Regions from separate parts of the Mus musculus genome. Here region 2 is reported to be linked to region 1. Evidence: microRNA targets listed by miRTarBase, many of them from high-throughput screens and not tested one by one. Region 1 holds a microRNA gene; the other region holds the end of a gene's coding sequence.

What was found. Region 1 holds the annotated microRNA mmu-miR-493-3p (UGAAGGUCCUACUGUGUGCCAGG, at 1,680-1,702, opposite strand). A microRNA usually pairs through its seed, bases 2 to 8, with sites in the 3' UTR of a target mRNA and lowers its output. Matches are read on the target gene's strand: a 7mer-m8 pairs with bases 2 to 8, a 7mer-A1 pairs with bases 2 to 7 and ends in A, and an 8mer does both.
Region 2: miRTarBase lists Sfrp1 as a target of mmu-miR-493-3p. Seed matches in the 3' UTR shown: 7mer-A1 at 1,169-1,175, 7mer-A1 at 1,309-1,315 and 8mer at 3,433-3,440.

What each region holds. Positions count from the first base shown.
Region 1 is chr12:109,577,712-109,581,984 of GRCm38, reverse strand. Mir493 (microRNA 493) reads right to left here and starts at 1,752; the gene lies at 1,670-1,752. It also overlaps a transcript of Rtl1 not described here.
Region 2 is chr8:23,445,831-23,450,103 of GRCm38, forward strand. Sfrp1 (secreted frizzled-related protein 1) reads left to right here. Exons shown (of 3, transcript NM_013834.3): 3 at 336-3,802. The coding sequence ends at 658. Among named protein-coding and RNA genes, the nearest start is that of Sfrp1, 36 kb to the left of the region's middle.

The DNA of each region.
Region 1 (4,273 bases):
TGTGACTTCTGGATGCAGGAGGATGTCTATGTGACAGTCCAGTGTGGAGCAACTTGGGGTGACATGGAGGTGGGGCAGGGACTAAAGGGGTAGGGGAGGAGTTCGAGGTGATATCAAAAGAGGAGGTGGGTCCATGTCACATACAGTAGGGTCACAGATTGTGACACATGACTAGATAGAGATTTATAGGTTAGTAAATGGCTCTGTGTGATACTAGAATAGAAGCATAGTTCAATGTGACCCAGGAATGAGGGCAGAGGACCCAAGTAATAATTCGGTGGAGGGGTACTTAGTAGGACATAAAAGGGGGACTTTGTTATGGCATTGGAAGACGAGATAGTCAGGACACATTAGACTCAATTTAGGTTGGGGGTTCATATGATAACTGGAGGGGAGTTCATGAGACACAGAGTGGAAAAGGGGTCAGGATAGGACACACCTGAAAGAGGGGTTTGGTCAAGTACCCCGTACTGTGTCTCAGGTAAAGGAAGAAGACACAGTAGCCAGGAGGGCGGTCTGACAAGAGTGAGAGAACCTCAGGAGGCTCAGTTCACACGTGGAGGCAGCTTGGCATGAGTCACAGAGGGATTCGGTGTGATGAAAGGGTAGATAGAGAGGGATTCATTGTGGTAGGAGGAAGCCTGTGATCTGTGACCAGATATCGGACCTAGTGTAACACAGAGGTGACAGAGGTTAAGTGTGACAATGAGAGCCTGAACATCACACATGGGTAGAAGGAGGGACTGAAGGGGATCTGTGAGCGGGGAAGCATCTCAGGTAGACAGAAACTTCAGGTGACTCAGGTAAGGAGGTGAGACACATGGTTGTGACATGGGGAGGGGGCGGTAGGGTCACATCACTGGTGGGGTTTGGGCTCTCCTCCTTAAGCATCTAGAGATTGATGTCCCTCTACCTCAGCCCTGTAGGCACCAAGGCATTAACATAGCCAACCCCATTCCAGTTCCAAATCTAAAAAAAAAAAAAAAAAAAAAAAAAACCACACATTTAATTGAACATCCTGAAATGTATAAATAGATTCATTGCAACAATACATTCCTGAGAGCCCTGGTATAGGCCTGAGGGCCACCACAGTACCCAAATGTCAAGTACGTGTCAAACCTTAAGGGAACCTTTAAGTCCCATTACCCACCCTCAAAGAAAACTGACAGGTTTCTCAGAACCAGGAACTCCCAACATAGTAGTTTAACAGCATATGATCAAGAAAAAATGATTAATAACAGCAGACAGAGAGATCCCACACCCTCCCCCCACCCAGAGCCCCAAAGTGCACAGAAAATAGGCCAGGGATCAATCTCCAACAAAGCAGACTCCTGGGTTTGCTGACCCAGAGACCTGGGTGTAGATGATAGGGAAACAAGGCTGCTGGGGGCAGGAATCTGGGAGTGAGCCATTCTGGGAGGGTATTAGTGCTAGTGGACTGAGTACCTAGTACCACTTCTGGGACAAGCCACCCACTTGGAACAAAGAGGTCACCTAAGGCCTCTCCTTACAGATTATTTTGGAAATCGTAGGGCAGGGGCTGCACCTACACCTCCTCCCTGCATCCACACCCAAGCAGCCTTGACACAGGCTCCCTTCCCATCCAGCAGTTTGTAAGCATCTCCCCGAGGTGTGGGCTCTCAAGGGCAACGTCCATCTACACGATGCCTGGCACAGGGCCTGGCACACAGTAGGACCTTCACCGAATGTGCAAAAAATGAATGAAAGCCTACCATGTACAAGGCCCTGGCGGCCAGAGTGAGCCCAGAAGCGAGGATGATGGAGGTGAGGAAGGTGATGGACTGGCCAGAGGTGAGATGCTGAGCCCAGGGAGATGACAGAGGCCAGGTAGAGGTGATGAAAGTCATGATGATGAAGTCCATGGTGACAGACATGCATGAGATAGACCCCCCGCCCCTCTCAGAACAGAACAGGAGGAAAAAGCCAGGACCCTAAGGCTGAGCCTAGAAACCTCTCTCTCTGAAGATCACTATGGATTACATGTCTAGCTTGATCCCCCACCCTGAACATCCAACATGGCAGATCATTATCCCAGCATGGTGTTCGGAGAATTTCTGAGCCTGGTCATCCTACCAGGTAGGAAAAGCAGATGCCCTGAACAGGGCCCCTTAAACAGATTCTGTTTACAGACAATTCTAGAGAGCCATCTCTCCTCCCTAAATCCATCTTAAAAATTACACTTATCATTGTGTATGCGAGAGCGTTGGTACACAATGGAGCGGTCAGAGGATAGGTTCTGGGGATTGAACTCGGGTCCCTCAGGCTTGCACAGATAACACCGCTACCTGCTGACCCTTCTCTCTGATATCACGCATCTTATTTGCTTTTCTTTAACTGTTTCCAATTTTAAATGGGCCACCAAACTTCCAGGGCAAGTTGGAAAGTTGGCAAGCAATAAAGTGGCCTTCAGCATATTGTCCGAGTAGATTTGTGACTGGTTTGTCAGAACTTTTCCATCAACACCCGAGTTTGCCTATGCCAATCCTCGCTGGTTTATCACCCAGCAATGAGTTTTCTCAGAAAAACTCCGATGCCATCAGTGACCTTCAGTTCAAATCATGGTGCTCATTGTCATCAGGAAAACAAAACCATTGCCCATGGGTATCTCAGGGAAACGTGCAGGGAACTTACCTGGAGCCCAGGGGATGGGATGATGTCATCTCTTGCTGGTAGGGGTGCAGGTGTCTCTGTTGAAGCTGTCATGCAGCGTTACAATCTGGGAAGCTCATCCAGTCTGGGCGTACCCAGGCCAGCACCAGAGGGCGGCAGGTACCCCAGGGAGTGGCTAGGGAGGTTGGTCGAAGGACATAGACCAATTCTTGCCCAGCCAGCTAACCCAGAAACTGGAGAGTGGGGTGGGGTGGTGAGGTGGGGTCTGGGGAGCTGATTAGAACCCCAAGCAAGGGGGCAGGAGCTGGAGAGTGGACAGGTTGCCCCACTCCACTTAGGGGAGAGAAACCCCAATGGAGAGGGCTTGGGGCAATGGATGGGGGAGGAAGTACCCCACTCATGGATGCGGTGAGGGGCTGTCTAAGCTTTATGGCCAGAAAGAAGAGGGAATTGGGGAGTGGGGACACAAAGATGGCAGGGAGTGACCACCAACTCTTAACCCTGTGGTGGCTCTAGCCACACGGGGCAAATCAAGGAGGTTGGGTGCAAGGTTGGGGCAAAAGTGTGTGTAGAGTCTGCACCCAGGGCATCTGGAGTTCGGGGGAGATCCACTCAGCCTCTTCTTACTTCCAGGCATTCATCGTTAACCACCACAGGACTCATACTTACACAAACCACACAACACAACACAACACACACAAACACACAACATACACACACACACACCACAGCACACATACACACAAAACACATAGCACACTATACACAACACAATACACACAACACACGCACATTTTCACAACTCACATGGACTAAGGCTCCTGCACAATGAGGTCCAGTGCCCACCTTAACCTAACACATGGACCAGTGAACGCAGGGGCTTATTTCTGCAGTGCCGATCAGGCACTATCCATTGCCCAGGCACTACCTATTGCCGTGGCTGCACAAGAACTGGGTAAAGGGGTGGGGATAGCCTCCATCTGAGGCTCCCAAATAGCAAAAGTCTCTAGAAGAGCTACTTTTATAAGCTATGTGAGCACAGGGCTGTGTGAGCTGTAAGGCCCAGCCTTTTAGAGGGATGGCACTCGATTCTAAGTAAAAGGAGGTTAGGGGCATTAATCTGAAGTTTTGGATCAGCAGAGAATCTGGGGAAAGCATCCTGCTACCTTTAGAGCCACGTGGGAATATTCAGTTTGGCCTTCATGCCCTCTCAGAGCCCAGGAGCTCTGTCTATGATCACACACACACACACACACACACACACACACACTTTCACTCATACTTCACACCATCATCCAACACCATGCAAGCAATAAAGTGCTTTGTAAAGTGCAGGTATATAGACAGTGATCTGAAATACCAACTCCCTCCCCCTCCCATCGGCCCCCTCCATGCCCAGCCCTCCCCCAGGCTTGCTGACTACTTCCTTCTAGCCCCTCACTACCTAGCCACCCGCCAGAATATCATCTGTATACAGATCCTGTACACAATAGGCATTAATACCTGCCAGGTTGAACTAAGCTAACATCAAATTCCAACCCCCTTGTCCAATATGATTTGGGTCTGGGTTGTGAGAGAGTCACTTGTGAAACTTAAGGGTGTCTAGGACACTACCACCAGCCCATGATCCTAACTAGGGTCC
Region 2 (4,273 bases), not on the chromosome of region 1:
TCCTCCCCCACCATGTGTGTGCGCCTGCGTGGACGTGTGCGCACCCCCCCACACCCATCTATATTCTGTGCATGATAGAAAACATGACTATTTAGCTTTCTGATTCTGAATCATTCCACTTACTGTGTTGAAAACCAACGTTGAGTTGATTTGAGACAGGTCTCAGTGCAGCGCAGCATCCCTGGTTGCTTGCAGCTCAGTAGCACTCTGGGTAACTGAGATACACTGTTTCCCTTTTATGTAGGACAGGGTTGAATGCTAAGCGCTTTGTTTTAACGCCTCCTCTTCCTTGCCCTCTCCTCCCCTCCCCTCTCTGCCTCTCTTCCTCATCCTAGCACTGAGGATGAAAATCAAAGAAGTGAAGAAGGAAAACGGTGACAAGAAGATTGTCCCCAAGAAGAAGAAACCCTTGAAGCTGGGGCCCATCAAGAAGAAGGAGCTGAAGCGGCTTGTGCTGTTCCTGAAGAACGGTGCCGACTGTCCCTGCCACCAGCTGGACAACCTCAGCCACAACTTTCTCATCATGGGCCGCAAGGTGAAGAGCCAGTACCTGCTGACAGCCATTCACAAGTGGGACAAGAAAAACAAGGAGTTCAAAAACTTCATGAAGAGAATGAAAAACCACGAGTGTCCCACCTTCCAGTCTGTTTTTAAGTGATACTGGGGCGGACTGGGGAAGGGGAGTGTGGCTTGGGGTGAGGGTGGGGGCGCGTGGATGACCCTGGCTCTTGGGGGCTCACATATTGCTCTCACCCATTACAGTTGTGGCTTTTGCATTGCACCTGGCTCTGTTCCTACAGCGAACCCTCTCCCTTCCCTCCATAGCCACATCCAGCTAAGGCCACGGCCCTTTAGATTAGGAAGGCTTTTTTTTTTTTAAGGGCTGCAGCAGGGCCAGCAGGCACGGTGCAAAAGGAGAGGCAGAATCCTTTCACTGAGCCTCGGGCACAAAAAACAGAAAATGTTGGCCGGTTTGGAAAAACAAAACAAAACGGATTGTAAAGAACTGCAGACGGACAGCTGCTCAGCTCAACGTTGTTCGGGACATCATTACCAATTGCTTGTGGAGTCTAAGCCTCTACAGGTAGAAGAGTCTGATCATTGCCAAGCCAGGCTGCTTTCAGTTTATTATTAATCCCCCTCTTTCTGCCTTAGATAGACCATCGCCACCTTCAAAACACACACACACACACACACACACACACACACACACACACACACACACACACACACTTCTGAAAGTAGCCAGGGTATCCCAGTATAGAACGGGATAGCTAAGGGTTTGGGTGGGAGGCCACTGCCTACTCTACCTTCAGCTTTTGAACTGGCCACCTTTGATAGGAAACTGTAGGTCTCAGATGGACACTTCTACCAGTCCATCGGGATACAAGGATGCCAGGCAAGGGTCTGCTTTTGTATGAAGGAGGTACGTGGGCATGAAGAGACATGAGGCATTTCAGGCTGAGAAGCCAACAGCTACTAGTTTTCAACAATAGAGTGGAAGAAATGAGCAAAGGTAGAAATGTCAAGCAGGTCACAAGTCAGGGTGATTGGGGGAATCCTGTGCCAACAGCCTCACTTTGTAATTCCATCTGTCACATTTCAAAAGAACAGCAGCATAAGACAGGGATAAAAGCCCACATACCCTCCAAGGCTTGAGTAAAAGTCCACACTCAGCATTTCAAAGACTAACGTCGTTGACTGCCCAAGGCTGCCCTCTTAATACACCGCCTATGCATGTGCTGTGGAAGGCAACTCTGTGCATGTGCTGTGGAGGAGATGGGCCTCATGGCTGTGCCTGGCTGCCCAGGAATCAGTATAGCTGTGGAAGGAGACAGTATCCATAGACTCTGCTTTTCTGCAAGGAAAGCCCTTTTCCTTATACATGATTGCCTATAATTCAGACAAATTTAAAATCGCTGCCTGCCTGAGCCCTCCACCTTTACTTTTGCATTCCTCCGGTCATATTCTTTTGAGGCTAAAGTGCCCTATCCGAGGAGATGGTTTCAAAGGCTAACTAATCTGCAGCTTTCCCAAGTGCCCAGAGGTATTTCTCAAAGTTGGTATGCTTAATAAGTGATGTAAATATTCCAGTTCTCTTAGGCAGCCTTACTCCTGTTGTCCCTGTAGTTCTGAAAAAAAAAAAAAGTTAATTTCTTCCACCAAAGTCTGATAATTCCCCACCGCATCCATGGGGCTACAGTGACTGTCCCTTTGGCATACTCAATCCAGAGGTAGGAATGATTTTGAAGAATCATCTAGTGGCCTTGGATTGACCCAGAAACAGGAAAACTCTGGTTACTTCTGAAAGACTCCAGCCTGAAAACTCACCATGCCAACTTAGTTACTGACCTGAGTGGGGTAGTGACCTAATTAACTTCATGTTTAGTAGTCCTATTATCTTAACCCTTTTAAGAATACTTCCAACCTTAATCACAATGTTATGAGGAACCTTAGGTGATTTGCCTATCATTGTGGATGATTTAAAAATATGTATGTGCATTAGTAATTAGAAATAGTCTAACCTCATTGTCCATAACTGAAATGCAAAGTCTCCTGAGTGTGTAGATCTGGGCCTTGAGCCACTACTAGTTCAGTGCTTGGTGAGGGGTCTGCTCATTTTGGGAAAGTGTATCATGTGGCAGGGCCCTCTCCGAGTGGCGGGAGACTGCCTACATGATTTTTTTTTTTCCCTGGGGATGTTAGCAGTTTCACAGCATAAAAGGGAGGACATGTTCTGGGGGGCTCCAGATTGGGAACCCTCAGGAAGTAACTTCCTCAGGAAGGATTCATAACCAATTGATCGATCAATTGATCATGTGAACTGCAGCAGCTGTCTGTCCCCTTACTTCAGAGTCCCCAGCTTCAGAGTTTTGTTGCGGACCTGTGAGGATTTCAGACACACACACACACACACACAGACCAGTTTTGTCTATACTACATCAGCAGTTCCAGACAAAAAGGGAGGCTATCTAGGGGCCCGAAAGCTGCATGATCAGCAGCCTTTGTCCTTTTCAACAAAAGGTGTAACAAACCAATGTGCAGACTCATTAGCTTTGTCCCTGGCTTCCAATGGAGGTGGTCCATGTGCGCTCTGACCAGCGTTGCCAATGAAAAGGTCAGATTTGGAAAGCTTTAAAATAGTCATTCCGGAGAGTCAGGGAAAGCTAAACCCACCAAACTTTTGGGAACTATCAATAGCTATCTTAGAAAATAGACTTGAGAGGCAAGAATTGTAAGAATATGTTTGCTTTTTAAAACATTCTGTATCCTCAGAGCTCATGGTTGGTGGGTTAGCACTAGGTCCTCCCTGGGGCTGAGTCTAAGCCCAGTTCCAGGCTTCCTAAGAATGTGTAAATTACAGAAATCACATTTCCCAAAGCTAGAACCTGTTTTATCTTGTTAGCCTCCCTGTAACCAGATGCTCTGTTGGACCTTCATAGCCGGACGTGGTTCAAGATGTGCTCCAGAAGCAGACCCGGGGTCACATCTCCAGGATGGCATGTTGGCTGCTCTGACCTGGCGCTGTGGGTCCTAAGCGCAGAGACGGAATTCCTGTTGGCCCTGGTTCCCCCCTCCTCGCACCCCCTGAGGACTCCACTTTATAGCCTAAGCCTTTTATACAAAAGCTTTGAATACTGTGAAGATGTTTTACATTCCTTCTCATTCCTGTTGTTTCTTAACTACATTTGACCAGATGTTTTGATGTTATCACGTATGTTAATAGTGATTCCCAGGTGTGTTTTGTTTTCATGCTTTCCCTGCCAATGTATTCACTTCACTAAAATCACTCGATCAATAACAGCGTGAGTTGTGATTGACCCAACCCCTGTCATCCACTCCCCACTCCCCGATGCCCTCCCACTCGGCATGCTCCCTTGAGTTGCTTCAGTGGTGTTTTCTGGTCCTAGCTGGGTGGGATGGGGTGGAAGAGACCTGAGAAGGAGCACGGGCATTCCCTGCCCTCCTTCCCCACTAACCATCTCCGTATAAGCCTGGTGTCTGTCTGTCTGTCTGTGTGGGTTTCAGTTCTGCCAAACATTTCTGCTCCATGTTTCAGATGCCCCCACCCGACAGGTCCATTTTAGAGTTCACGTTCAAATTACCAGCGAGAACTTAAGAAATGGCTTATGTTTGGTGCTGTGGTCCCATTTGGGACTTTGAAGAATAAAATATGACATGGCAGGGACTGCCAAGAAGACTTTGGGTCACTGGCGCAGCTAGATTTAGAACCCACAGTCCCAGCATCCTGGCCGTATGGGCTGAGCTCTCT